7 linked regions of the Callithrix jacchus genome follow. The protein of the gene in region 1 interacts with the protein of each later gene in a pairwise test. Links are inferred from orthologs where the notes say so. Each region holds a gene or a part of one and is shown in the gene's direction. Other genes may lie near its edges.

Region 1 (4,505 bases):
CACCATCGGCCGCCCAAAGTGCTGGGATTACAGCACTGAGCCACCGTGCCCGACCAGAAACCACTTTCAAACTGACTTTCCACTTAAAGTATTTTGCACTTTTTGTTCTGTTTTGTTTGAGACAGATCTGTCGCCCAGGCTGGAGTGCAGTGGCCCGATATCGCTCACTGCAACCTCTGTCCCCGGGGTTCAAGCGATTCTCCTGCCTCAGCCTCCAGAGTAGCTGGGATTGCAGGCGCCCGCCACCATGTCTGGCTGATTTTTGTATTTTTAGTAGAGACGGGGTTTTACCATGTTGGCCAGTCTTGGTCTCGAACTCCTGACCTCAAGCGATCCGCCGTGGCAGCCAAAACATTTTACTCTTACGTGTACTCATTTATTCATTCAATATTTATTGAGTGCCTACTAGCACCAGGCACCTTTGTAGGCCTAGGTTTACAGAAGTAAAGCTCCCCTCCCCCACCCCCAGTGCCCTGAAAAGCACTATAATTGTTTCTATTTCTCCAATTTTCACTTTTATATGAATTTTCACATGCTTTAGTTCAGACATGGGCACAAGAATGAGTGAGAGAGAGAGTGTGTCTTGGGGCCATCCTACACTCTAGGGATGGGCACAGGAGTGAGTGTGTATAGGAGTGGGAGTATGTGCTCGCGCGCGCGAGTGTGTGTGTGTGTGTGTGTGTGTATCAAGCTCTGTATTATCTAAATAGGTCAAAGATCAACATCTGGCTTCTAGATCCATCATCAGGCCTCTCCACGTAATACCTGTCTCAAACCGGATCTGATTCAACAATAACCAGCCTTAATTCAATAATCTGTGCTACCTGAGATGGTGGGAATAATCTTGGTACTATAAATGTTGCAGAACAAAAACGACTGCAGCGGATTTTCTGGGGCTACACCAACTGAAAATGGGCCGGATCGAGTTCCGGGAGAGCGTTTTCCTGCACTAGACGTTTTCCCGCACCCGGCGTTCAGCCACCGGGTTCCGGGTCTAGCTGAGTCAGGAAGGCGCTCCAGCCGATTGCGGCCTCGGGAACCGTTCGGTTGCACCCGAACCTTCGGTCAGAGTCCAGGGGTTGGCAGCCCGGACCACAGCACCCGGGTTTAAACAGAAGTGGAGGCGCCGGGGAGGACCGGCGGTCCCGGCCAGTTTGGAAGGCGCACCCTCCCGGCTCCAGACGCCGGCAGGGCGGAGTCAAGCGGCCGCAGCCCCAGTCGAGACGCGCGCTCGTGGCTCGGGCGAATGGGGGCTACAACGGGAGCGGCTGCGCCGCCCGGCCGGGTCAGCATCATGCGCATGCGCGGACCCGGCGCCATTTTGGTGGCCGGGCGCGGAGGTGATTCCACACTGAGGAGAGCGCGGTGGCCGGGGTGGTAGTGGCAGTGTTCGTGTGCTCGGGTCTGAATCGCTGAGGGAGGAGGCGGTGGAGGAAGAGGTGGCGGCGGTGGCGGTGGTCGTAGCGGTGGCGGAGGAGGCGGGTACGAATCAGCTGCGGGCGGAGACATGGCCAACATCGCGGTGCAGCGAATCAAGCGGGAGTTCAAGGAGGTGCTGAAGAGCGAGGAGGTCAGAAATGAACTCCCGGACATCCCCCACCTCTGCCCGGGCGGGAGGGTCCTCCCAGCGTGACCCCGATATCCCCGGTAGTCCCTGGGTGGCCCTCCTTGCGGCCGCCCTTCTGCCTGTGGGGAAGCAGTAGTGCTCCCCTCCTCCTTCCGCCGCCTTCCCCTCCCCTCCCACAGCGCTAGGATGGACGGTCTCGGCGGGCGGGGGGTCTGGGGTGGAACACAGTTTGGGGAACTGATGGACAGGGGGGAACTCCTCGGCGGGATGGAAGCTCACGAGAGAACCCGAGGCGGTGGCCACAGCTGGAAGTGTGGCTCTGGGGTGGGGAGGGAGCAGGCCGAGCCCGAGAAAACCCGGGAAGTGGGTTGGGGGAAGGGGAAAGGTGGTAACTGTATCCGGAGGAGCCGGTGCTGCTCTAAGGCCCACACTTTTGAGGATATTCTGGGTTATTGCCTGTCAGGCCGTCACCGTCCTTTTCTTAGGGAAGGAGCGGTGAGTCCTTAGGTATCGATTAAAAAGGAAGGACATTCAGAGTTAGTCCTTCTTAGTTGGGTGTTAGGAGTCAAGGGGAGAATAATAGAATACTGTCTTATTCGGTGGCAGGGATAAGGGAATTTTCACCTCTGTTAGCAAGTTAATTCCAAATGAGATCGTTATGTCTTTTCCACTTTACCCCCAAATTCCTAGGCCTCGTCTTTATCGACATCTCAGTCTTTGAGTGGGCAAAGGCAAGGTGTTTGGTGTATTAAAGACATTTAAATATTTTTAGTTAGAAAAAAAATGGAATGTAAGAGTAGCTTATTTCAAAATATTGTTTACAAGTTACAGATCAGAGAGACTGTCCTAATACAGTACCTCTGTGACTAGTGTTGTGCCACGAAACTTCATTATGATGTCCCTCATAGTTAACTTGATTCTTACTTTTGAAAAGTAGACCTATTAAAAACGTGTGCTTTTACCAGATTAATACACTGTTTTATCTCTTTATTGAGTAGATTTATCACGATATAGCAGATTTTCAAAAAAATTGCCTCCCGTTGCTCTTAAATCCTGCAGAATTTAGATATATTAGTACGTTTAAGTAAGATATTCACAATGCTCTAGTAATTTGACTCAGAATTACATAAGTATTAGTACAGTTTTTCATACCAAAAATCAACAAGAATACCAGATTGCCTTCCCCACAAGGATTAAACAAAAAGTAATACAGAAAATGGTTATTTTCAAGATTCACGTACCATTATTGAATATATCGTTGCTTTTGTGTTTTTTCTTTTACGGTTAGTACTTCGATAATGTCGATAGTGATTAGTGAAATTCAGCATTCTAAGTATGTGATGAGTAGACATGAAGAAAAAATTGTTTAAAATTCAAAAATGACAAATAGGCTTCTTGAAAGTAGTAGTATGTAAGTCATGATCAGTTTTACAGAGCATGTGTATGAACTCTGACCTCTGTTCATATGCCAAAACTCTGAATGGAAGGATGACTTTGTATTTTGTGGTACAGTGCAGAAACAGAGTCATAAGTGTTTGTATTGATAACAGTGAAACAGCAATTTTAACTTAATATGAAAATGTATTCCAGGATATTTGACATATATACTTCTAATGGAAGATAGCAGCTAATATTGTTGCCAACAACCTAAAACATTTCTTGTTTAATAAGGTTGTAGAAGCTTGAAACTTAATAGACTTTTAATGCTTTATTTTCTATTACTGAAAAGTGGTAAGTTACTACTCTAGTAATTTATATGGTCTCTGCTTTTTATGAGCTGACTTCACCGTGGTATTCTTAGTACTTAACTTGAAGATTACCAGAAATACTTGTATTGCTCTCTAGTAATGCATATTGTTAAAATAACACTGCTCATTATACATAAGGGATGATGGTTTACTTCAAATAAGTATCATAAGCGTTTCAGAAGAAGAAAATAGGGACGACAAACTTTTTTTTTTTTTGAGAACAGTACCTATAGAAATATGGAAAGAAACTTCTTCTAGGAAAATAAGTTGCAAAGAACATTTAGGAAAAGTTCACATCACTTAATCTTGGAATAAATATAACCAATAAATAGCTTATTTTCACCATTATTTTTTGACATTTTAGTGTCCCAGATCTATAAGTAGATTGTTATTTTCAACTCATTGAAGGACTTGTAGTACAGTCCATGTGTTTCCTTTTTAAGGGTGTAAATCCAGTCTTTTGAATGGCTGATCAAATAACTATTTCATCATGTCACTTTTTTGGTAAATCTGCACTTTACCAAAGTTTATTTCATATGCTTGTGTGCTTGTGTTTAGTAAGAACACTGGTTGATTTAAGGACTTTTTGGGGTGGCCTTTTAAGTGTCTTTGTAGAGATAGCTGACGCTTGTTGGATTGTGGTGGCCATTCTTAGAGTGTGTTAATTAAAATACAGCCAACAAGATAAATGTGAAAAGCAAGATACAGAATAGTGTGGGAGAGGCCACCATTTGTTTCAAATGGAGGGGAATATGTGTATTTGCCTGTGCAGGTAAAAGGTTTCATGAGAAATTGGAAAAATTGACTGCTTTCTGTGTAGGGGAATTGGGTCTCTGGGGCATGGGGAGTAGATATTTTTTGAATTATGTGTCATATGAACGTGATTTACTCAAAAAAGGCACCATTTGGCCTCTTTCCCTTAAGACAGTGTTTGGAAATTTGTCAGATGTTTCTTTTTAATTTATTAATATTTATTTTCTTTGTTTTAGATGTTTATTTTTAAATATGAGTATGAATTTTAAGTCGTTTTAAATAATATTCCAAAGTTGTTAGGCATGGAATATTGATATAAAGTACATTTTATAATTATTTTATGAGTTGGATTACATAAGTAAATTGTTGATTATGAGGATATAAAACCCTCTGAAGAGGCACATCTAAAAAAAAGGATAATTATTCATAGGTTGTAT
Region 2 (4,681 bases), on another chromosome or scaffold:
TTCTCAATTTTCTGTTGCATTTAATCAGTAATTTTTTTCCAGTTATAAAATCTTTTATTCCTTTGCTATTACACTAGCCATGACTTGTAACCAACAAATACAGACATGTTATTTGAGAGGGAAAGTTTTAGAAAACTTTATTTAGATAATTATCTAAATCACAAATGTAATTTAACAGATCCATATTCAGATTTACTTCTGCTCCTGTCATTTTGCTAACAGATGTTTCCAGCAATATGAATACGTCATGTTAATTTTCAAGTTTAATGTCCTCACTTTGTCCTTGATATTCTCTAATGATTTTAATGTCTGTTATTAATGTAGTGATAACATATTTGAGATTTCTGATCTTGGGTATTTGAGCCTTTTTCATTTTTCCTTGATAAGTTTCACTGGAAATTATCTGGCTTCAATAAGCATTTAAAGGATTTTACTTAATTTACTTCCCTTATTTCATATTTGTTTTTCTTCATTGCTTTTCTTGCCTTTATTAGTTGCTTCATTCTGCCTTCTTTGCTTTTAGCTACTTAATTATAATTTAATTTGTTGATTTAGGTGATTATAAATATTCAGATGATAATTTTATGTTTTATAAAATTATCTGAATATTTTTATAAATGTAAGCAGCAAAATTTCCTCAGAAAAAAAATCCAATAATATATGATATATCACGAAACAGAGGGCTTATTATTGAAACGAATTGGTTAAATATTTGAAATTCGTAGCTGCAAATAATCACATTAAGAGAATAAAGGGAAAAGCAAGATTATCTCAAAAAAATCTATAAAACTCATGACTGAATTCAGTATGCAGTCATAATAAGTACTCTCAGCAAAGCAGGGATACAAAAATGATTAATGTACTAACATGTATCTGCAAAAATGACAAAACGCTCATACATGGAAATTAAAAACCATTCTCTTGTGGATAATATGGCACAGGATATGTTATAAAAGGCTGTCCTGCCACAACACAGCACAGATGGGGCTGAAAGAAAGGAAGGGAAACAAAGGGCTGCCATGAATATACCAGCAGAGAAAACAAAAGCCTGGGTCATGCAGGGGACAGTGCCTTATTAAGCCAGCATCAGGACTGGTTGAAGTCCCAGGCTTCTTCACAGTGGGAAAATGACCATAGTAATCACAATAAAGACAGACATCTGAAAGGTGCTCACTTCGCCTCGGATCAGACGTGCTCTCTGCTAATGACTTGCTGGTGAAAAGCGGATCCAACGTAAGCCCTCAGAAATCCCAGAAAACAAAGACCAAACGAAACGACGCCTTGTCAATAGAACAAATCGAAAAAAGTTTCCCGCAGTGACAGGCAGGGCATTAAAAGAAAAAACCCACAGACGTGAGACGGAATGAATCCAAAAGGAATTTATATAACTCACGTATGAAATGTTTCAGAATCTACAGAGCTATAATTTAAGGCAGACAGACGCGGAAATACAATGAAAGCGTGCATGACTGAAACTAGAAGAGATTACATGAAAACCTCATTCTCTTGAGGAAATGGTGTGAGGAGGGAATTAGGGGCTGCCGAAACACAGCGAAACAAGAGGCGGAAGGCAGACAAAAGGGGCCGGGTCGGTCCCTGCCTGCGTGAACAAAAAAGATGTCAGATGAGATGTCAGATTGGAAAATTGCCGCAAAAATCAGGCAGCGCACGTAGGTTGCCCCGACAGGAAGTGTCCGCCATGCTGCCTGTGCCCGGAAGTAGGTAGGAACACAGAGTCACAGGGAGCCAAGAGCAGGGGGGAAGGAAAAGAGGTGCACACTTCCCCCAGAGAAGTCTCGATCGTGGCCGCGGCTCCGGGCCTCAAGCCCTTAAAGAAAAAATACCGGAGACGTTCTGGCACCATTTCGGGGTGAAGAAGCTGCCATGGAAGAGCCTGCAGCTCCCTCAGAAGCCCACGAGGCAGCCGGGGCCCAGGCAGGTGCTGAGGCAGCAGGGGAGGGTGTGTCTGGGCCCGACCTTCCCGCGTGTGAGCCCTCCGGGGAATCTGCTGCTCCAGATTCAGCACTGCCACATGTGGCCGTGGGCTGGGCCCCCTTCCCTGTAGCTCCAGTCCCTGCCCACCTCCGCACGGGAGGCCTGAGGCCTGCCCCAGCCTCCGGAGGAGGAGCCTGGCCCAGCCCCTTGCCAAGCCGAAGCAGTGGCATTTGGACAAAGCAGATCGCCTGCAGGTATTATATACATGGGCAGTGCAAGGAGGGGGAGAACTGTCGCTATTCCCACGACCTTTCTTGTCGGAAGATGGCCACCGAGGGCCGCGTTTCGCCGTCTGGGGCCTCTGCAAGTGGAGGCCCTAGCACGGCTGCGCACATCGAGCCCCCGACTCAGGAAGTGGCGGAAGCCCCCCCGGCTGCATCCTCGCAGTCCTTGCCTGTGATTGGCTCGGCTGCTGAAAGGGGTTTCTTTGAAGCCGAGAGAGACAATGCAGACCGTGGAGCTGCTGGAGAAGCAGGTGTAGAAAGCTGGGCGGATGCCATTGAGTTTGTTCCAGGGCAGCCCTACCGGGGCCGCCGGGTTGCATCTGCTCCTGAGGCTCCTCTACAGAGCTCAGAGACTGAGAGGAAGCAGATGGCTGTGGGCAGGGGTGAGCGGTTTTGCTATTATGCTTCCAGGGGAGTTTGCTTTCGTGGGGAGAGCTGTATGTACCTCCATGGAGACATATGCGACATGTGTGGGCTGCAGGCCTTGCACCCCATGGATGCTGCCCAAAGGGAAGACCATATAAGGGCCTGCATTGAAGCACACGAGAAAGATATGGAACTCTCGTTTGCTGTGCAGCGTGGTATGGACAAGGTGTGTGGCATCTGCATGGAGGTTGTCTATGAGAAAGCCAACCCCAATGACCGCCGATTTGGCATTCTTTCCAATTGCAACCATACCTTCTGTATTAGGTGTATCCGCAGGTGGAGAAGTGCCAGACAGTTTGATAACAGGATCATCAAGTCTTGTCCACAGTGCAGGGTCACCTCCGACTTGGTCATTCCCAGTGAGTTCTGGGTGGAGGAGGAGGAAGAGAAGCAGAAACTTATTCAGCAATACAAAGAGGCAATGAGCAACAAGGCCTGCAGGTATTTTGCGGAAGGCAGGGGTAACTGCCCATTTGGAGACACATGCTTTTACAAGCATGAATACCCTGAGGGCTGGGGAGATGAGCCTCCTGGGCCGGGTGGTGGGTCATTCAGTGCATACTGGCATCAACTTGTGGAGCCTGTGCGAATGGGAGAGGGCAACGCGCTCTATAAAAGCAGTAAGAAGGAGCTTGTCGTGCTTCGGCTGGCCAGTCTGTTGTTTAAGCAGTTTCTTTCACTGAGAGATGAGTTCCCCTTCTCTGAGGAGCAGTGGGACTTGCTTCATTATGAGCTGGAAGAATATTTCAATTTGAATCTGTAGCATCGTGCTGTGGCATGTGGTCTAGTCTCCTGAGGTTCTGTCATCTTCTAATGCCTGTTTTCCCTATGTTGACACTCCTATTGCTTTCAGGGGCTGTTGAGGCAGTGTTTCTGTTTTCTTGTCTATTCTGAGTATCTTTTCTCCTAGGACTATGGTGATTATCTGTGTTAAAAAGTAAGTCCATAAAGTTACTATTTTGGTGAAATTAATATTAATGTCAGCTTATGGCTTTTTCGTCATCTCTGTTTTCAACAGGATTAACTCAGTTCTAGTTTAGTGTTTACTGAATTTCCACACGTATTTTGAAGACTCTCAAGAGTAAATATGGCAGAGTGAAAGGAGAAGTTTTAATTGAACTAGTAGCTTTCTGCTATAATAGCCTTAACAAATGGACCCTTGCAGGGCCTTGCAGCTGCTCATCTGTTTGTTTACAGTCTGTTCTTTCCCTTCTTCCCTTTCAAGTGCACTTGTTAAACTATGATGAACTTGTGACTTTGTGTTTTACTTGACCAAAACCAAGTGTATATGTTTACATGTTTTTATCCTGTTTAGCTTGACGCGAAATAATTTATATTTGGAAATTTATATTTAAGAATGATATATATATAATATATATGCATATATATGTATAAGTTATGTATTTGAAAAATATATAAAAGAATATACATCACAATATAATATTTATGTTTATGTAATAAAGTAAATACAGACCCAAAAGCTGAAGGTCAAAGCCTAACAGGATTGGCTGTTGTGTGAATGTGAGTTGTCTGAATAATCTTTCTGTCCCAGGCACAGAAGCCAGTAATTAACATGTAATGAAAAGGACTGTTCAAGTGGGTCTGGCCAGATGTAACAGATGCACATCTTAGAGGACTTACAAAGCATGATGTTGGTAATTCTTACAATGGCATTCATAGCTCACTCCATAAATATTTAAATGGTGTTCCTATGCAGTTTAGCCACCTTCTCATTTATTCTTTGTAACAGCAAATCCTAGGCTCAGAGGCACAGTGCTTTGTATTCCATATACAAAGTCTCTAGACTTTCCCAACAAGGGGCTTTTGACAAAAGATTTCAACATAAAAGAAACAAGATTATAAAAGGGAAAATAGAACAAAAATACTAAAACCAGTGAGAATTAAAGAATGGGGTAAAATAATATAGAAAGCACTACGTATCAGTACAACTTAATTAGATTAAATGAAAGCAGTTTAAAGACTGAAAGTCAAAGGCTGTGAGACTTCATTACGAACAAAGTGAAACATCTTGTTTA
Region 3 (3,949 bases), on another chromosome or scaffold:
CTCTAGAATGTAAGTTTCATGAGAACAGGGCTTTGTCAAGTTTCCACTCTGCCCTCAGTGGCAAATGAGTAGATTCTCTCACCTCTGAACCTGATCTGGAATTCCTAACAGCATTGACATCTAACTTAATGACAGAGAGGAAGGAGATTCTTAGAGGCAGTAGAAAGTGGTCAAGTGTTCAGAAAATTGCCTTTTATTATACATCCTTAGTTCTTTCTGGCAGATTGGGTTATACTGTCTTAATCTATCAGGTTAGGTAAGTAGCCCAGGGTGTCTTCTCCATTCTTTCTGTATGCAGTATCTCAGCGTCGACATCTGCCTAGGCTTCAGGATAGAAACTCAGTCATCTTTGACTTTCCTTCTTTTCTTTAAAGTCAGTAAGTTATCAAGTCCCGATTCCGTCTGAGCCATTTCCTGAATTCATCCTCTACTGCTTTAGTCAGGCCCTCACAATCCTCTGCCTTTAGCCATCTGTTTGGTTTTTGCTTTGTCTCTTCTCATCTCCTCACCTAAAAAAACTAACAACATGGCGGGTCGTGGTAGCCTATGTCTGTAATCCCAGCATTTTGGGAGGCTGAGGTGGGTGGATCACCAGTGGTCAGGAGTTGGAGACCAGCCTGGCTAACATGTGAAACCCCGTCTCTACTAAAAATACAAAATTAGCCGGATGCGGTGGCAGGCGCCTATAATCCCAGCTACTTGGGAGACTGAGGCAGGAGAATCGGTTGAATCCAGAAGGTGGAGGTTACAGTGAGCCAAGATTGTGCCATTGCACTCTAGCCTGGGCAACAGAGTGAGACTGTCTCAAAAAAAAAAAAAAAACACAAACAACAAAACTAACAACAACAAGAAAACTTGTTTTCCATGATAGCACAGAGATGTTTTTCTGAAACTTGGATTTGGTCTTGTCTTGTTAATATCTTGCTTTAAACTTCTGCTCTGTGGAAAAGTCTGTTAGATTATTATTTCCTCAGGTACATAATGAATTTTAAGCCTAAATTAGGCCTAGAATAGTCTTTCTTTCCTCTGCTGGCTGACCTCTTTTTTTTTCAAGTGTCAGATGGGTAATGGACCAACGTCTGTAACAAGGTTCAAGGGTGGGACATCTCACACATGTGCACGAACACCCAGTCATCACGTTCACGAACTACAGAGGATCCAGCTGAACTCTTTTAAGGCTGATCAAAGACACTGTCTGCAGTCTTAGCCCTTTCCTTCTCAGGTCATAGCTAGTTGCTTTTCCCCTTATGTTTCCAAAGCGCTTTGCCTTCACCTCTAATGATAGCAGCTCCCATTTATGGTGCATTGGTACATGCTGGACACTCTGCCAGGGGTCTGCTATACAAACTGCGTCCTCCCAGCAATCCTAGAGGTAGGTACTACTCTCTTCATTTCACAAAGGAAAAAACAGAGATTCTAAACCCCACTGAGATCCCTCAGTGGCAGGACCTAAGGCTTGAGGCCTCAACCTTAACACCTTTCACCGTGTATCACAGGAGTTTGCGTTTATTCTTGCAGTTGTGTGTTCTTTGTAGTCCACTTTTATTCCTCAATTTTTCTGGCCTGGAAGGACTTTGTATTTGAATTGGGAGAAGAGAGCAAGTTGTTTTTACTCCATTATCCATTGACGTCTTTTTAAAAGTTGATCCATATTTGTTGTCTTGTCTCCATGATGCGTGACGGAGGTTCTCTGTATGTCTTGTTCTAGCTTTTGCTCTGCATGCCTGCAGGAATGTCTGAAGCCGAAGAAGCCTGTCTGTGGGGTGTGTCGCAGCGCTCTGGCACCTGGCGTCCGAGCCGTGGAGCTCGAGCGGCAGATCGAGAGCACAGAGACTTCTTGCCATGGCTGCCGTAAGAATGTATGTGGAAGTAATGTGGAAGAGTCCATGTCTTTCCATGATAAGATGGGGTGAAATATACAGTGCTGTTTCTGAAGTTAGAGCATGACTAGGTCACTAACAGCACGCATGCATGCCAGTTACTTGTGCTGATGGCTGTGCTGGTTTGTTTTCATAACCCTACTGGTTTGTTTCCTTTTTAAAGAGTTGGTTAAGTGTATGTTTTAGCTTTGAAAGCCGTAGAAATCAGTTATCCCAGTTTTTTCCTATAAAAGATCAATTTTTGCCAGGCACAGTGGCTCACGCCTGTAATCCCAGCACTTTGGGAGGCCAATGCGGGTGGGTCATCTGAGGTCAGGAGTTCGAGACCAGCCTGGCCAACATGGTGAAACCCCATCTCTACTAAAAATACAAAAATTAGCTGGGCATGGTGGCTCATGCCTGTAATCCCAGCTACTCAGGAGTCTGAGGCTGAGGCAGGAGAATCACTTGAACCCAGGAGGCGGGGTTACAGTGAGCCAAGATCATGCCACTGTACTCTAGCCTGGGCATCAGGGTGAGACTCAAAAAAAAAAAAAAAAAAAAGAATTTTTTTTCCAAAGCATTATATATCATTTTAATTAGAATAAAATGATAATGATATTTCATGATTCTTTAAAAAATGAAGTCAGTGACTCAAACTTAACTCTTTTAATGCATTTGAGGGGAAGTGTTGTAATCTATATCATTAGATATAAAAATTTAATGGTTCAGCTTTTTAGCACTTAACAGGAATCATGATATAAAGGTCAATATGAGGACCAGGTACAGTGGCTCATGCCTGTAACCCCAGCTCTTTAGGGGTCCGAGGCAAGAGGATAGCTTGAGGCTAGGAGTTAGGAGACCAGCCTGGGCAACCTAGTTGAGACCTCATCTCTGCAAAAAAAATCAGATTAGCCAGGTGTGGTGGTATGTACCTGTAGGTCCAGCTACTCAGGAGGCAAAGGCAGGAGGATCATTTGAGCCCAGGAGTTTGGGATTACAGTAATCTATAATCATGCCACTACATTCCAGCCTGGTTGACAGCAAGACTCTGTCTCTTTTAAAAAGTCAATATGAAATCATTGGATTATAATAACAATAGCTAACATTTGAAATGCATCCATGCTCTTGTATAATCAGAGTCAAGTATATTTATTTTCATACCTGTTATAACTGCTACTGGAAAGGAGAAATACTGTTGTCCTGTTTTCCAAGAGATATACATGGCTTTATTGATTTTAGAATCATTAAAATTTTTTAAATTCTGGACCATACAAAAATATACAGTAATACAGGCTTGTTCCTCATTCCAGAGATTACTTCAAAAATAGTTCAATTTAAGGCCTGGCAGGGTGGTTCATGCCTGTAATCCCAACACTTTGGGAGGCCATGGCAGGTGAATTGCTTAGGTCCAGGAGTTCTAGACCAGTCTGAGCAACATGCTGAAACCTTGGCTCTACTGAAAATACAAAAAATGCAGGGCATGGTGGTGTGCACCTGTAGTCCCAGCTATTTGGGAGGCTGAGGTGGGAGGATGGCTTGAGCCCAGGAGGCAGAGGTTGCAGTGAGTTGAGATTGTGCTACTGCACCCCAGCCTGGACCAAACCCTATCTCAAAAAAAAAAAAAGTGGTTCTATCTCAAAGGCTATGTAACATTTTCTATCCTTTGACAAACACAGATAGGGAATTTTTACCAACACAATTGTAGGATTTTTGCAAAATAAGATCACACTATATTTCTTCAACTTTTTTTTTCACTTCTTTAAATATACAATCATTCCCAACTTTTTTCTACTTTCAGGTTTTTTTCTCTTACATATTAGACAGCCTTGCATGTCAGTTTCATTATTTTTAACACTTAAGTGTGAATGACCATAGTGTTAATGAAACTGACCTTTCACAGTTATTTAGTATTAGGGATGCATAGTAGGGCTATTTCCTGTCTCTTAATTGGGGGCTTCACACGGCACAGTGACTCGTGCCTGTAATCCCAGCACTTGGAGAGGCCAAGGCAGAAGAATCATTTGAGCTCAGGAGCTTGAAACCAGGGTGGGCGACATAGTGGGACTCTGTATATACCAAAACAAACA
Region 4 (3,949 bases), on another chromosome or scaffold:
ATTTCTCAGGGGGAAGTGTCCTATAGATAAGCACAGGTGCAAAGGCCCCAAGAGCCAACATTCTGAGGCCCAGAAACTTGAAGGAAGCCAGTGGCAGGGAGGGCGAGGAGCAAGGGAGAGAGGTCCTAGGATTCGGCAAGTTACCTGGAAGACATACAGGCCTTTGGGGCTGAGGGTAAGGACTTTGGCTTTTTAACTTAAAATGTTAGGGGATTCATCAGATAGTTTTGAGCCAGGAGAGAGGGCGATCTGGTTTATATTTCTAAAGGGTCACTCTGGCTGCTGTTGGAAATCTGAAAGTAGGAACGAGCTAGAATGGAAAGTTAGAGCCCAGTCAGGAGGGGTTGCAGTGCGCCAGGTGAAAGATGACAATGGTGTGGACTCTGGGTGGTCCTAATGGAGGTGTGAGAAATGGCTGGATTAAGGAAAAATTTTGAAGATCTGGAGGAAGGATCTTACATGCCAAGTCCTTAAGGGGGAACAAAACATTAGAAATTTTATTTTTTATATTACGCTCAATTTGTCTCTGTCCTTTTTATCTTAATCTGGCATGTCTTATATTTGAGCATCTAAAGGCCAGGGTTTAGAAGGGCCCAGCAACTTTGCATGCAGGTGGGTGTTTAGTTGAAAAAAGAAAAAAGGAAGAGTTAAGAAGAGAAAAAACAGTAATAAGAAAGCCCTTTCCTCACTTTTATGGCTCCCTTCCAAGCTCAAAGACTTTTTTCAGGGCCACAACAACTTACCCAGCAAGCACAGATGCCTTCCCTCGACTGCTGTTCCCAAGATCAAACAGATAGTGGAAGTTGTAGAACACAGATATCTTGGCCATGGAGCTTTTAGAAATGCTCATGCCCAGGCCCCGCTGCAGACAGTTAACATCAGAATCTCTAGGGATGCACTTGGGCTTTGGCTGTTTTGTTTTTCCCTGAACTCGCCAGGTGATTATTATATCCAGACAGGGCTTAGAACCTCTGGGATGTAGCATGCTGCATCCTCTAAAAAGGATTGAGGCCAGATGCAGTGGCTCACGCCTGTAATCCCAGCACTTTGGGAGGCCGAGGTGAGTGGATCAACTGAGGTTGGGAGTTTGAGAACAGCCTGACCAACATGGAGAAAATTCGTCTCTACTAAAAGTACAAAAAGTAGACAGGTATGGTGGCGCATGCCTGTAATCCCAGATACATAGGAAGCCGAGGCAGGAGAATTGCTTAAAGCCAGGAGGTGAAAGTTGCAGTGAGCTGAGATCATGCCATTGCACTCTAGCCTGGCAACACGAGCGAAACTCAAAAAATAAACTAAATAAATAAATAAATTAATTAATTAATTAAATGGATTTGAAAGAAGTTGCCCCCTGCTTAGGGAAGATGTAGTGGTTGTTTCTCTAGTCTCTAGGCATTCTTCTGAAGAAAAGACTGTAGGCCTGCATGCTGAGAGGTTTTATTTGTTCTTGTTCCTTTTAAAATTTCAGATCTTTCTTACTGTAACAGCTGACCTGAACTGTAACCTGTTCTCCAAAGAGCAGAGGGCATACATAACCACACTGTGCCCTAATGTCAAAAAAATGGAAGGTCCTAATGGAATTGAGAAGGTATATGGTGACTTTCAAGACATTGAAAAAATACATCAATTTTTGAGTGAGCAGTTCCTGGAAAGTGAGTGGAAACAGGAATTTTCCCCTACAGTGACAGAGAGGAAGCCACTCAGTCAGCAGGACAGGGACAGCTGCAGTTCTCCTTCCGAACCCAAAACCAAGGCAGAAGAAAAAAGCAACTGTTTTGAAGTTCCCTTGCCTTACTTTGAATACTTCAAATTTATCTGTCCCGATAAAATCAACTCAATAAAGATAAAATTTGGTGTAAACATTAAAATCCAGGAGAGTTCTCCAAATATGGTCTGTTTAGATTTCACCACAGATCAATCAGATGACCTAGAAGCAGCCCGTGAGTCTTTTGCTAGTGAATTTCAGAAGAATACAGAACCTCTGAAGCAAGAATGTGTCTCTTTAGCAGACAGTAAGCAGGCAAATCAAATCAAACAGAAATTGAATCACCTGTTTACAAAGCTCCTTATAAAGGAGAAAGGAAGAGAATTAACTCTCCTTGGGACCCAAGATGACATTTCAGCTGCCAAACAAAAGATCTCTGAAGTTCTTGTCAAGGCACCTGTGAAACTATTGACTGCCAGTTGGATGACGAATGGAATTGAAGTCGATAGTGCTCGCTATAAGCTTTTAGAAGCTGAATTACTACAGGAGATAACAGAGATCGAAAAAAGGTATGACACTTGCATCAAGGTTTTTGAGAAAGGTCAAAAAACCTGCATTCTGTTTGAACCCAAGGACAAGCAGGTAGATCTATCTGTGCATGCTTATGCAAGTTTCATCGATGCCTTTCAGCATGCCTCATGTCAGCTGATGAGAGAAGTTCTTTTACTGAAGTCTTTGGGCAAGGAGAGAAAGCACTTACATCAGACCGAGTTTGCTGATGACTTTAGAAAAAGACATCCAAATGTACACTTTGTGCTAAATAAGGAGTCAATGACTTTGATTGGTTTGCCAAATCACCTTGCAGAGGTGAAGCAGTATGTTCTAAGAGGAGGAGGAACGGCTTCATTGTCTGGAGAGAAACTGAATGAGGATCGTGTAACACCGATGGACATTGATAGTGATGATTCCAAAGCAGCTTCTCTGCCACTCAAGGGCTCTGTGAGTTCTGAGGCCTTTGAAGTGGACAAGAAGGAAAATGGCTTCTGTGTCATCTGTATGGACACCATTAGTAACAAAAAAGTGCTACCAAAGTGCAAGCATGAATTCTGCACTCCTTGTATCGACAAAGCCATGGAATATAAGCCAATCTGTCCCACATGTCAGACTTCCTATGGTGTTCAGAAAGGAAATCAGCCAGATGGAAGCATGGTTGTCCGTGTCTCAAGAGAGTCACTTCCAGGTTATGATTCCTGCGGCACCATTGAGATTAATTATAACATGAAAGGAGGCAAACAAACAGTAAGTATTTCTGAGCTCCATGGTTTCTTGCCACTATGTTACGATTACTAGAGCAAAAGAGACTGTCCTATTGCCTATCAGACAGTAGATTTCCCAAGGAATTATCTCCACGGTCATACACAAGGGACTGAAATAGTTAAAGGTCACAGAGTTTGCTGATGACTCAAATAGCTTTTTGTCTGTTTCTGAAGACAAGAAAGGGTGGGTGGAGATTATATCTTGAGTTGGCGCGGGGGTGAGGAAGGTGGACAGTGTTCCCAGCATGAATTCAAGGAAAGAGGAGAAATATGAGTTATTGGGAATATGAGCAAAACTTCAATACTTTTCTTGCTTTTGATTTGCTTTATCTACAAATGAACACATCTACACATACAGAAAAAGTTAGACAGCGTGCTATTTTCACATGACATTTTCTTGTTCTCACACAGAAGGAGCACCCAAACCCAGGAAAGATCTACCCTGGAGTACATCGAACTGCATACTTGCCTGATAATAAGGAAGGGAGGAAGGTTTTGGAACTGCTTCGTAGGGCCTTTGAGCAAAAGCTGATTTTTACAGTGGGGAACTCTCGAGCATTAGGAATCTCAGATGTCATCACTTGGAATGATATTCACCACAAAACATCCAAGTTTGGAGGACCAGAAAGGTGAGAGCCTTCTGGGATGTAACAGCTGCTCAACAGAGTATAGGGATTATGAAATATGACAATTTCTGGATGTGGATATAAGGAGAATCTATAGCAGTGATATTGGGTATAGTAAAGTATTTTGAGAGATGCTAATTGGGGATGATAATTTCAAAGACAGAAAGATTGGTCCCCATTGATTTTCACCCTGCCAACTATAAAGTATTATGGAGTTATTTAAATTTTGCACCAAAGGGCAGGGGGGTTTAAAATCCAAGTTGAATAGTATATATGCTGATTTAATTTGAGGCTTCATGTCC
Region 5 (4,389 bases), on another chromosome or scaffold:
AAGCCATCATTCTTGGCAAACTAACACAGAAACAGAAAACCAAACACCACTTGTTCTCACTCATAAGTGGGAGTTGAACAGTGAGAACGGAACATCACACACCAGGGCCTGTTGGAGGGTGAGGGGCTGGGTAGGGATAGCATTAGGAGAAATACCTAATGTAGATGATGGATTGATGTGTGCAGCAAACCATCATGGCACGTGTATGCCTATGTAACAAGACTGCACATTCTGCACATGTATCCCAGAATTTAAAGTATTATAATAATAATAATAATAAAAAGTAAAGTCTGGGGTAAACTGGGTGAAATTTATGGGCTGTTAAGTACATGTATGTATTATATGTTATTATATCCCATGTGTTATGTATTATTGTATATGTGTATTATATACTATGTGCTATTTTTGCAACTCTACGCAAATCTACAATTATCTCAAAATAAAGTTTTGTTTTTGTTTTTTAAAGTAAGTTCTGTGAGAACTGGGGTTTTATTTGCTTGTTGACAATTGTGTCTTTATCATCAGAACAGGGTCTGGCATGCAGTGGGCACTAAATAAGTCTTCGTAAAACGTGTGAATTAATGCCCGGCGACTTTTTATATTATTAGTAGAGACGGAGTTCTACCACGTTGGCCAGGTTGATCTCGAACTCTGACCACAAGCGATCCAACCGCCTCGGACTTCCAAAGTGCTGGGATTACAGGCCGGGGTCACTGAGCGCAGCTGATCAAGTTTAAAGGGCGGGGTGGGGAGAGTACAAACAACAGAGGAAATCCTGAGCCGCAGAGGAAACTGGAGATGGCAGCGTTTAGCACTAGACTCTGTACGAGAGGCAGGATTGGAATCCAAATCTCCAGAACTCTTTCCACTGCCCGTGCTATCTCTCCATTGATGGACTATTGACTGGATGACAAAGTATTGATAGCACAGTCTTAGGAGACGCCCAGTCATAGATCATAGGCCATCTTTGCAGCTTATTGTGATTTCAACCGTGGAGGATGGTCCTATCCATCACCTTTCAAGCGGCTGTTCTCTGATCAGCATTAAGCATGGCCACGCCCGCCCTTAACTTCTGACTGTGGGGAAAGAGGTTGTGTGGGTGACAGCTTGGAAGGTTTACTACTGCCTCAATCCTCTTTTCTGCAGTTGAGGTTTCAGGTTTCAATCCTCCCAATACCACAAGACAGTGCAGCGAGCACCCGGCGGCCGCCGCCTCCGCCTCCGCCTCCGCCTCCGCGCCTCAACCCCGGCAGCCTGCAGATTTCAGCCCCGCCGCCGCGCACTCGCCCTGCCCTAGACCAGGGTTGGGCGCAGCGGCTGAGGCTGCTTCTGGGCTGCGCGAACTGGGTGCGCTGGGAGGCGGCGATCGCAGCTGGGCTGGGACTTCCTTCCTCCAGCGCACGGCAACAAAACAACCTTGCAGCAGGCACTGAGCGCTTGGCAGCTGTCCGGGCGAGCGAGAGGCACAGCGATGGGCTCTGTGCTGAGCAGCGACAGCGGCAAGTCGGCGCCCGCCTCTGCCACCCCGCGGGCCCTGGAGCACAGGGGGGACCCGGAGTTGCCCGTCACGTCCTTCGACTGCTCCGTATGCCTTGAGGTGTTACACCGGCCTGTCCGGACCCGCTGTGGCCACGTGTAAGTGCCAGGGGAGCCGGGTTCGCGCCCATCCCTGCGGAGGTCGATGTGGGGAAGCTGAGGGCTTGGTAGGGGGAAGAAGGGGGACGGAAGACAGCGCCTTAGGAACTGCTGCAGGGAGAAACCTGGACCCGTCGGGTGCGGGGCCACAAGGAAAACGCCAGTCGGTAGGTGACACGGGACTTCGGGAGGAGAAGACAGAAACGAGCGGGCCCTTTAGCCCCCTTGCGCTGTCTCCTCCCGAAGCCCAGGTGCGGAGCTCCAGGGATCCAGGCACGGGTCCCACCCAGCGCCAGGGCTGGCCAACGAGGGAGGGTGCTCCTGGCTGGAGAACCAGCGACCGCCCGGGCACAGAAAGAAAACCAGCGCCCGCTACAAGGCAAGGGCTCCCGCTAAGCGCAGTTATCCCGCTGAACTCGGTGGAACGGGCTGCGCTTCCCTCTGCCCCAGAAACCTGGGTCCGTTTTGTTTTGCTGCAGCTGTGCACGTGTTCCCAGAATGCCCACAGAGACTCGTCTTAAGCAAACAAGGATTTGTGCCAAGTGTCCTTCCACCCCCACCCCTGCTACCCTTTCCCAAAACAGACACCCAGCCTCTCAAAGAGCAAGTCAAACTGGAGCTTCCGAGTGACTTTCCACAGTCGTTAGAGTTTAACAACCTGCTAGGGTGGGGCTTGGACGTTAGCCGCAAGCCCCTGAATGCAATCCTTCACTACCCAGCCACAGCGTGACAGGAGGTGGCAGACTACCTGCTTTACTCCCCGTCTCTCCAAACCCGCAGAAATTACAGAGTAAAATAACTTTCTCGAAACCGAGCAGTATTTAGCTAAAACTCGCAGTTGGTGCAAAGCCCTGTCGTTTCTAAGAAGCGTTTAAAAACAAAGTCCGGATATAAATTTGGCACATCCTTAATGTTGTGTTCTCTGTTTGCTTTTTTTCTTTTTTTTTTCCTGAGACATAGTGTGGCTCTGTTGCCCAGGCTGGAGTGCAGTGGCGCGATCTCGGCTCACTGCAACCTTTGCCTCCCCGGCTCAAGTGATTCTCCTGCCTCAGGCTCCCTAGTAGCTGGTATTACAGGCGTGTGTCACCACAACCAGATAGTTTTTGTATTTGGAGTAGAGATGTGGTTTCACCATGCCGGCCAGGCTGGTCTCCTGACCTCAATTGATCCACCCGCCTCAGCCTCCCAAAGTGCTGGGGTTAAAGGAATGAGCCACTGCTCCCAGCCTTCACTGTTTGTCTTGAATTTTGTTCACGGATACACGTGTGTGTGTGTGTGTGTGTCTGTGTGTGTGTGCGCGCGTGCGGGTGCACAGATCAGGAGCGGAAGCCTACTTAATGTCCTTTGAAGACTGACTATAGTATGATGAAGCCCTGTGCGATACCACATTGGCTTGTACAGCTTTTGGCTTAGCAGGAAGAAAGAAATAGCATATTATGGATGCAAGTGCACAATATGTTTTCGAGAACCACTTTTGAAAGGATTTGGGTAGTCCTTAAAAACATGTGCATTTGCATTCAAAAGTTTTGAGGCCTGTAGTGGTGGCTCACACCTGTAATCCTAGCACTTTGGGAGGCTGAGGTGGATGGATCACCTGAGGTCAGGAATTCAAGACCAGCCTGGCCAACATGGTGAAACCTCGTCTTTACTAAAAATATAAAAATTAGCCAGGCATGGTGACCTACACCTGTAATCCCAGCTATTCAGGAGGCTGAGGCAGGAGAATTGCTTGAACCTGGGAGGAAGAAGTTGCAGTGAGCTGAGATGGCACCATTGCACTCCACCCTGGCAAGACTTTGCTTCAAAAAATAAACAAAAAAAGTTTTGAAAGTACTTAGGTGGTCCTTATTACCTATATCTTTGTATCTGAAAAGCAGTGTTCACCACTGCCCGTCTGTGAGCCAGGGAGAAAAGTGTGCAACCTGTGCAATGTATAAAGAGTGCTTTGGGCATTATTTCATGGCTGTATTCTCAAGGCCTGTTGTTTCAGCCTTGTTCGTAAAATTCGAGGCTTAAATTTACCCTCCTTTCTGGTTATTGATGTTGTTGCTCAGCTGTCCAGATGTAGTAACATGATATCCACAGACCAATCTGGAAGCCAAAATGTGCTATGTGAGTCAAAGTACATTGATTAGTTTAGTGCAGTAACAACCTAAAGATACCTCCATTTAAATTTAATAATTATTAGCATTAAAACTTCAACGTAGTACAAAACAGAAACAGTGGGCGTTTTGAAGATTCTTTTTGGAATAGAAGGCTTTGCTGTTCAATCTGACTGGAGACTGTTTTCCCGGTTTGGACTTTGAACATTATAATTTACCGTTAACAGTGTTTTTCCTTCTACTAAAGGATAATATAAATTTGCAAAATGTTGAATTTTTTGTTTAATCTTTTTCTTTGTTCAAGTGAATAGAAAACTAGCAACTGAAAAAAAAAAGTCGTAAAATAGTATAATAAGGGCTGAGCAAACTGCCTTTCCTTGCTTCACTGTTCTTTGTTTTGGCAAATCTATGTTCATTGTTCTGGCTGTGGGCAGAATTTCCATATTCCTCCTTTTGGCAAACTTACTTGGGTCCCTTCCACTTTATAGCTGTTAACCAGAGTCCTTACTGCAGTAGAGATTGTGAGTGTTGTTAATACCATTTGTACATTCTAAACGAATTACTCTTTTCCGCTGAAATTAAGTTGGAAAACAAAGAAATGCAAATGAACCTTCTCTATTTTATGATCTCATATTGAAGCTACATTTTCAAA
Region 6 (3,949 bases), on another chromosome or scaffold:
AAATGAATGAATAAATAAATTAATACAAGTATTTGAATACTAATATAGTGTAATGCAGGATGGCAGAGAGGAAGAGTATTGAGAGCCTTCAGAGGATTTAACATTGATTTGCTGGAATCATATTTGCCAAAATAGTTGGTCAGAAAAGAAAAAGACAGGAAAATTTTTATAAATCAGCTATGTTTATTCTAAAGTAAAATTAAATTCTCAGACTGGGAGTCTGAGGTGGGAGGATTGCTTAAGCCCAGAAATTTGATGCCAGCCTGGGCAACATTGCAAGATCCTGACTCTAAAAAATATTTTTTTTAATCTTTTTAAAATAAATTTTCAGTAGAAGGGTATGGATAGTCTGATTTGCAGAGCAAGCTCCAAATTTCTGATGAGCCTTTTCAATTAGAAATCTAAAAGTTTTTACTACTGAACGAAATGAGAAATATCCAGAAATAGAGTCAAGTCACACAGTATGGATTCTTAAAAAATATTAAACATTTAAAATTAAATTTTAGAATGAAAGTCTAGAGTGTGTCAGAAATTGATGCATTGTAATAAAACTTCAAGGACTTATATTTACTAAGACCCAGGAAGGATCAACAGAGTCCTCTTATTGGGAAGCTCTTATTGGGAAGCTTCCATATTTGCTCTAAGTTTGAAGAAGATAGTATGGTCACAAGTAAAATAGTGGTGATTTATCAAGAGTTCAGGAGATCACAAATTTGACATTAGGTTATAGCTGAAGGAAGAGAACTATAAAACTAGTAAACAAATAGCGAATTTAAATAGCAGAGATAAGATCAACACCAGGAGGTTAGGAATAAAAAACTGAAAGTAAAAAATATACTGAATTAATTTTAGATAATGGTAAATTTGGTCTTGAACAGGTTGAAAAGCACTGGACAAGAGTCTGAAGCAGTTGTGCGGCTGTCATGGGGACCTGGGGGCTTTTATAGTTGACAGTGATCCATGGACCATTCTTTTCCCTTTTGAAGAAACATGGTACTTCATAAACTGAAGAAGAGTGGGGGGCCTAATAGTTTTTAAGAAATATGTCCCTAGGGGCAATTTTGTTATTTGATAATGCTTTCAGTGATTATTTCTGATTGTTTTTCATTTGAGTTATTTACAATGTTATATGTTATGTGTTATATGTGTTAGAAAGCATAGTCTATTAATGATATAGAGGCTTTCCTTAATGCCCATTTATAAACTTTTCTCATTCAGATTTTGAGAGTTCCATTATGCTAATGCAGCCTATTACAGACAAGTTGCATGGTGACTATCTAATGCAAACAAAGTAAGAATTTCAAGATGTCAAATATGAACAAGTGATCTTCAGATGTATCTGTTCCTAAAACTGTCAAATTTAAGTTAATATAATGTTGAAGGTTCACAGCTCTCTTATACTGTATAATTATGATAGGACATTCTCTCTTCTAATTCATTTCTTCAGAGTGAAATAGAGAGTAATTTACCAAAAACAGATGTACTCATCTAGCTTCTAGCTAGCAATAAGAATAATGTCCAAGATCTAGAGTTCATAACTGGCTATACCTAATTTCAGCAAATATACAAGCAAATAATTTTTTCTTAAAAAGTGAATATTTTTATGAGAGGTATTTTATTTATAAGTGCCCCCTTTTGTTTAAATTCTAAAACAACTCTCAGCCTGAGCAAAATAGCAAGACCCCATCTTTACAGAACATAAAAATCAGCCAGGCAAGGTGGCATACTCCTCTAGTTCCAGGCATTCGGAAGACAAAGGCAAGAAGATTGCTTGAGCTCAGGAGGTTGAGGCTACAGTGAGCCATAATCATACCACCACATTCCAGCCTGGCCAACAGAGCAAGACCCCATCTTAAAAAAAAATAGGGTAAAATAAAATAAAACTACTCGTATGTGCCTCCAACGATTGTAAGTTTAGCAGATTTAAAAAGGCACCACCAAAAATCAGGTGAGATTCATCTGCCTTTTAAAGTTCAAGAAATATTTCTGCCCTAAATAAGGAAGTACTAGTTACAATCAGTACTGGGGCCTGTTGAATTGATTTACTAGTGAATGAGTTTGCTTTGTGTTCGTATTTGTGTGTCATTTTCTCCCCAAAACTTTACTTTGTCATTACATGTACATTGTCCCTTTGAAATAGCCATTATTTACTAGCAGTAGCTTAAGATAATTTTTGTGAGATAGGCATTGCAAAGTATCTTCTCTGATGTATAATACATCCTAGAGATGAAGGTTAGAAATCATTCTCCCTTGTATTGTGTCTATTTTAATATTATGACGATGATTACAAAAATAATAACTAACATGTATTGATGTGTCAGGCACTAGGCCAAGTATTTTGAGTATGTTAACTCAGTCCTTAACAACAAATATTATATACCCATTTTACAGAAAAGAAACTGAGAGTAACTTGCCCAAAGTGATTCACTTGGCAAAGCTGGAATTCTAACCCAGGCAGTCTAATACCAGAGTTCCACATATATTAACTCTTCACTATAATAATTATTTTATACTATTTTCAGAAATCTAGAAAAGTTCACCTAGAAAATAATATCCCCAAATCAGTGATTCTCAGCCTTGAGCGTATGCTGGAATCATTTGGGGATCTTCAGAAATTTAAACTAGGTCTCACTCCCAGAGATTTTTTAAGCTCTGAGGATTTAAAAGAAATCTCCTTAGGTTATTCCAAAATGCAGAGTTATCTATTGACTGTGGAAATGGAAGTCTCAATGGTAAAAACCACACTGTATATGCTTATGTGATTACAGTAGAAATAAGACTAGAAATTATATCTTTAAAGCTATGAGAGTATTTCCAAAAATATTTATTTGATTGATTTAATATCAATAAATAGTTACAGTGTTTGATATATCATGTGTTATTTTGTTTGTTTGTTTAAATACAGATATAACCCACAGTTATCTTGAACAAGAAACTAAAAGGATAAATAAAAGTACACAGCCAGATGAGCAACTGACTGTGAGTTCTGAGGAAAATATGCATCAGAAATCCACTGAATTAGTTAATGAAATAAGTTATGAGAACACAAAATGGTCAGAGCAGAGATCAAGGAATTTTCAGATCATCAGTTCTTACCCAGATGATGAGTCTGTTTACTGTACTACTGAAAAATCCAAGTAAGTGCTCACAGCCTTAGATTTAGAAAGTAGGAATGGGGGCTGGGCGTGGTGGCTCTTGCCTGTAATGACAGCAGTTTGGGAGGCCAAGGCGGGCGGGTCACTTGAGGTCAGGAGTTTGAGACCAGCCTGGCCAACATGGTGAAACCCTGTCTCTACTGAAAATACAAGTATCAGCCAGGTGTGGTGGCACATGCCTGGAATCCCAGCTACTCAGGAGGCTGAGTCATGAGAATCACTTGAACCTAGGAGGCGGAGGTTGCAGTTAGCTGAGATTATGCCACTGCACTCCAGCCTGGGTGACAGAGCAAGATTGTCTCAAGAAAAAAAAAAAGAGAGAGAGAGAGTGGAAAGTAGAAGAACTTTTTCTTCCTTTCTCCTTTCTTCCCTTTTTTCTTCTTTCCTTCTTTCATTCTTTTTGGAGTTGACTAATTCTAAACTCATTAGAATTTGGGGGATCTACCAGGGTTTTCTACTGTTTCTGTGATATGGATATAATATGTCTAGTTAACTAAGTGAAAAAGCACAACGTGCATCTAACGAAAGGCAGTGAGATTTAATTCTATCTTGTTCAATATTATTTTCTGTGATGTTTTATTATATATTTGAAAATAACTGTTAAATTGATATACATGAAATATCATTCATGAAAGTAAAAAGCTGGCAGCTCTAGGATAAGGTAAGCCCAAACATGCATTTTGGTTTGGGTTAGCACTGTTTTTCGTTTAAATGAATTTGAATGCTGTTAAAAGGGCCTTGTGCTCTACCATTTGCCTTCCTTATTATTTTACATTCTCAGCTTTTACCCATTC
Region 7 (3,949 bases), on another chromosome or scaffold:
TTTGAGGAACAGCCAGAGTGCTTCCCAAAGTAGCTTATGCCATTTTATATTTCCATCAGCAATGTATGAGGGTTCCAATTTTTTTTTTTTTTGCATCCTCTCCAACACTCGTTATTACCTGTGTTCTTTATTATAGCCATCCTATTTGGCCCCTCTCAACTGTTAGATCTGTACCTGTGTTTTATCACTGTGACTCCTGTTTTCTTGTTTTTAATTAAGGTGATCCTTGTCTGACTGGCCGTCTTCTGTAATTTGCTGATTACCATGCTCACGTTCACTCATTGTGTTCCTGGTTTATCAGTGGTCCTCCTGACCTAAGTTAGAGCTTGATGGCTGATCTTGGATACAGCCCTGCCTAACCTTGTAAATAAGAATAAAATAAGACAGTGGTTTTGATAGCTTTCTGTAGGAATAAGCCATTCCATGTCTTAATTATTGTCACTTGTTCTGATAATAAAGTTATATACTACAGTAACATGGCAGTAGTAAAGCTCTTTGTTTGTCACATTAACTGCCTTTCGGATGAGTATGTTTCATTTTGAGTCATGGCATTTGCTAGTTTTACATTATTTTCACATGTACATTGCATTGATGTAAATGCTTTAAATTCAAGTCTCCTTTTAGCAACTCGTAATTTAAGAGGTTGAAGGATTTAGATAGTGTATTAGCTGTAGGAAGTTTGATTTTTATATTCTGCTGTACTCTTTATTTAACTGAATGATCTTGGCTCTAATCTTTTCTGTATCTAAAACTGAAATGCTGTAATTGTGCCTACTACCAGGAGAATTCAGATTCTCATTAGAGAATTAACAGAATAGTATGAAGGAAAAAATAGGAAAGCGAAGCTTATATTCTTTAGCACATTATTAATGTTTCAATCCAATGTAAACATCTAGATGTACAGAAATATTTCATAGTAACCACTTTAAAATGTCATACCAGGAGTAAAACATGTTGTCTGATTAGTCTTTTGAATTCTCATTCTTTTATCTATATTTTACTGAAACAGGTTTTGAAGCAATTGTTTGATTTAACCAAATATGTTGCTGAAGGTAGTAAGATATACACTAAGATGAGTTTTTGGTTATTAGAAGTCTTTAAGTAGGCTTATGCTTTATATTTACTGTATTTCTAAAAATTGGGTGCATGAGGAGAGTGATCAGAGAAAAATGTTTTATAAGAACAGTGAAATAATTCATAACAGACATTTAATGTACTGATGAGGAAAAGACACTTCTGCCTTTATAAGGGATCTGCTCAGTGGACTTTGAGAACTCTTCAATTAAATAGTATAAAAAACACATTAAAAATCTTTTAAATATCTAATTTTGTCTTCTAGGCGTTCCTTAAAGTTTCCCATGTCTCAATGGACTCCTGAATATAACGAGCTCTACACCTTAAAAGTGGATATGAAGAGTGAGATTCCTTCTGATGCACCAAAGACACAGGAGAGTCTGAAAGGGATCCTTTTGCATCCAGAGCCCATTGGGGCAGCCAAAAGTTTTCCTGCAGGAGTTGAGATGATTAATAGTAAAGTGGGGAATGAATTCTCTCACCTGTGTGATGATTCTCAAAAACAAGAGAAGGACATGAATGGTAACCAGCAAGAACAAGAAAAAAGTGTCGTTGTGAGGAAAAAACGCAAAAGCCAGCAGGCTGGCCCTTCCTGTGTGCAGAATTGTGTCAAAGAAAACCAGGGAATATTAGGACTGAGGCAACACCTGGGAACACCAAGTGATGACGATAATGATTCCTCTTTTAGTGATTGTCTTTCTTCTCCTTCATCTAGTCTGCATTTTGGAGATTCTGATACTGTGACTTCAGATGAGGATAAGGAAGTCTCCGTGAGACATTCCCAGACCATTTTGAGTGCTAAAAGCAGAAGCCATAGTGCACGGTCTCAGAAGTGGCCTCGGACCGAGGCAGAATCTGTATCGGGATTGTTAATGAAAAGACCCTGTTTACATAGCAGTTCATTAAGGAGACTTCCATGCAGAAAGAGATTTGTAAAAACTAATTCCTCACAGAGGACACAGAAACAAAAAGAGAGGATATTAATGCAGAGGAAGAAACGGGAAGTGTTAGCTCGAAGAAAGTATGCCTTGCTACCTAGTTCTAGTAGCTCCAGTGAGAATGACCTCAGCAGTGAATCCTCTTCTAGCTCGTCAACTGAAGGAGAAGAAGATTTGTTTGTTTCTGCCAGTGAAAACCACCAAAACAATCCAGCTGTTCCCTCAGGTAAAAATGTTTAAGCCGAGTAACACATGGAACTGATTACATTGTATTTGCACTTATTTTTTTGGTTATGTCTTACTGATTTTGTTTTATATAAAAGGACTATGAGCATCTATTAACTTTTATTTTTAAGCTGTATAAATTACCAATTGTAGTATAGAACCCTGACTCTACTTCAAAAATAAAAATTAAAAAAATTTCGAGGACAAAAATAAGTCAGAGTTTTTTGGGGGAATAACCATTTATTACTTTTTTTTTTCTTTTTTGAAATAGAGTCTTACTCTGTCCCTCAGGCTGGAATGCAGTGGTGCAGTCTCGGCTCACTGGAACCTCCACCTCCTGGGTTCAAGAGATTCTCCTGCCTCAGCCTCCCGAGTAGTTGGGATTACAGGCACCTGCCACCATGCCTGGTTAATTTTTATATTTTTAGTAGAGACAGGGTTTCACCATGTTGGTCAGGGTGGTCTCGAACTTTTGGCCTCAAATGCTCTGTCCCCCTGCTTGGCCTCCCAAAGTGCTGGGGTTACAGGCGTGAGCCACCACACCTGGCCTCATTTATTACATTTTATACATACTGGATTATACTATGTATTATATGTGTTTTTAATTTATGGCACACAGTTTTTTTCCTTGTGTTTCTTTAGTATGTTTGACTTTTTTTTTTTTGGAGACTGAGTTTCACTCTTGTTACCCAGGCTGAAGTGCAATGGCGCGATCTCGGCTCACTGCAAGCTCCGCCTCCTGGGTTCAGGCAATTCTCCTGCCTCAGCCTCCCGAGTAGCTGGGATTACAGGCACGCACCACCACGCCCAGCTAATATTTTGTATTTTTAGTAGAGACGGGGTTTCACCATGCTGACCAGGATGGTCTCGATCTCTTGACCTCGTGATCCACCCGCCTCAGCCTCTATGAATACTTATTCAGCTATCTGTATGATGAATTCAACCGTAGTAAGAACAATACTAGTCACTGAAAAAAGACAAATAATAGTTTTTCTTTTTTTGAGACAGCAAGTGGGTCTGTTGCTCAGGCTGGAGTATGGTGATGCAATCTTCGCTCACTGCCAACTTTGCCTCCTGGGCTCAAATCATCCTCTCACCTCAGCCTTTTTAGTAGCTGAGACTATAGGCATACACCACCACATCTGGCTTATTTTTGTATTTTTTGGTAGAGATGGATTTTGTCAAGTTGCCCTGGCTGGTCTTGAACTCCTGAGCTCAGGTGATCCACCTGCCTCGGCCTCTCAATATTTTTTCTTTAAGTACTCTATTTTTGTTGTTTGCTGTTATCATGTTTTTTTATAGCTGAAAAATAATATTAAGTATCTGAGTGTTAACTTTTATTCTTTTTTTTTTTGAGACTGAGTTTTGCTTTTGTTACCCAGGCTGGAGTGCAGTGGCGTGATCTCGGCTCACTGCAACCTCCGCCTCCTGGATTCAGGCAATTCTCCTGCCTCAGCCTCCTGAGTAGCTGGGATTACAGGCATGCGCCACTGTGCCCAGCTAATTTTTTGTATTTTTAGTAGAGATGGGGTTTCACCATGTTGACCAGGATGGTCTCAATCTCCTGACCTCGTGATCCACCCGCCTCGGCCTCCCAAAGTGCTGGGATTACAGGCGTGAGCCACCGCGCCCGGCCAACTTTTATTCTAATACTAAGACCCAGAGACTTTTGGTCCTGACAGTATATATTTTAATATGGACTGTTTCCTATC

The links.
Region 2: the proteins of UBE2K (region 1) and MKRN3 interact in binary tests that used the Homo sapiens proteins (3 or more experiments, as listed by UniProt). The link is inferred for Callithrix jacchus from reciprocal best matches to the Homo sapiens genes UBE2K and MKRN3.
Region 3: the proteins of UBE2K (region 1) and RNF114 interact in binary tests that used the Homo sapiens proteins (3 or more experiments, as listed by UniProt). The link is inferred for Callithrix jacchus from reciprocal best matches to the Homo sapiens genes UBE2K and RNF114.
Region 4: the proteins of UBE2K (region 1) and DTX3L interact in binary tests that used the Homo sapiens proteins (3 or more experiments, as listed by UniProt). The link is inferred for Callithrix jacchus from reciprocal best matches to the Homo sapiens genes UBE2K and DTX3L.
Region 5: the proteins of UBE2K (region 1) and RNF125 interact in a two-hybrid assay, tested with the Homo sapiens proteins (2 studies listed by BioGRID and IntAct). The link is inferred for Callithrix jacchus from reciprocal best matches to the Homo sapiens genes UBE2K and RNF125.
Region 6: the proteins of UBE2K (region 1) and MIPOL1 interact in binary tests that used the Homo sapiens proteins (3 or more experiments, as listed by UniProt). The two-hybrid records come from large-scale screens. The link is inferred for Callithrix jacchus from reciprocal best matches to the Homo sapiens genes UBE2K and MIPOL1.
Region 7: the proteins of UBE2K (region 1) and RNF111 interact in binary tests that used the Homo sapiens proteins (3 or more experiments, as listed by UniProt). The link is inferred for Callithrix jacchus from reciprocal best matches to the Homo sapiens genes UBE2K and RNF111.

What each region holds. Positions count from the first base shown.
Region 1 is NC_133504.1:154,118,297-154,122,801, reverse strand, and holds the start of UBE2K (ubiquitin-conjugating enzyme E2 K), read left to right. Parts: upstream 1-1,318; 5' UTR 1,319-1,507; coding exon 1,508-1,570; intron 1,571-4,505. UniProt on the Homo sapiens protein: Accepts ubiquitin from the E1 complex and catalyzes its covalent attachment to other proteins. In vitro, in the presence or in the absence of BRCA1-BARD1 E3 ubiquitin-protein ligase complex, catalyzes the synthesis of 'Lys-48'-linked polyubiquitin chains.
Region 2 is NC_133507.1:5,632,077-5,636,757, reverse strand, and holds MKRN3 (E3 ubiquitin-protein ligase makorin-3), read left to right. Parts: upstream 1-1,774; 5' UTR 1,775-1,884; coding exon 1,885-3,408; 3' UTR 3,409-4,149; downstream 4,150-4,681. UniProt on the Homo sapiens protein: E3 ubiquitin ligase catalyzing the covalent attachment of ubiquitin moieties onto substrate proteins.
Region 3 is NC_133506.1:45,490,247-45,494,195, forward strand, and holds part of RNF114 (E3 ubiquitin-protein ligase RNF114), read left to right. Parts: intron 1-1,054; exon of another isoform or gene 1,055-1,158; intron 1,159-1,708; coding exon 1,709-1,859; intron 1,860-3,949. UniProt on the Homo sapiens protein: E3 ubiquitin-protein ligase that promotes the ubiquitination of various substrates. In turn, participates in the regulation of many biological processes including cell cycle, apoptosis, osteoclastogenesis as well as innate or adaptive immunity.
Region 4 is NC_133516.1:80,460,124-80,464,072, reverse strand, and holds part of DTX3L (E3 ubiquitin-protein ligase DTX3L), read left to right. Parts: intron 1-1,468; coding exon 1,469-3,004; intron 3,005-3,432; coding exon 3,433-3,650; intron 3,651-3,949.
Region 5 is NC_133514.1:75,100,958-75,105,346, forward strand, and holds the start of RNF125 (E3 ubiquitin-protein ligase RNF125), read left to right. Parts: upstream 1-1,435; 5' UTR 1,436-1,471; coding exon 1,472-1,635; intron 1,636-4,389. UniProt on the Homo sapiens protein: E3 ubiquitin-protein ligase that mediates ubiquitination and subsequent proteasomal degradation of target proteins, such as RIGI, MAVS/IPS1, IFIH1/MDA5, JAK1 and p53/TP53.
Region 6 is NC_133509.1:71,918,135-71,922,083, forward strand, and holds part of MIPOL1 (mirror-image polydactyly gene 1 protein), read left to right. Parts: intron 1-1,218; exon of another isoform or gene 1,219-1,291; intron 1,292-2,905; coding exon 2,906-3,137; intron 3,138-3,949.
Region 7 is NC_133509.1:5,024,925-5,028,873, forward strand, and holds part of RNF111 (E3 ubiquitin-protein ligase Arkadia), read left to right. Parts: intron 1-1,339; 5' UTR 1,340-1,358; coding exon 1,359-2,238; intron 2,239-3,949. UniProt on the Homo sapiens protein: E3 ubiquitin-protein ligase. Required for mesoderm patterning during embryonic development. Acts as an enhancer of the transcriptional responses of the SMAD2/SMAD3 effectors, which are activated downstream of BMP.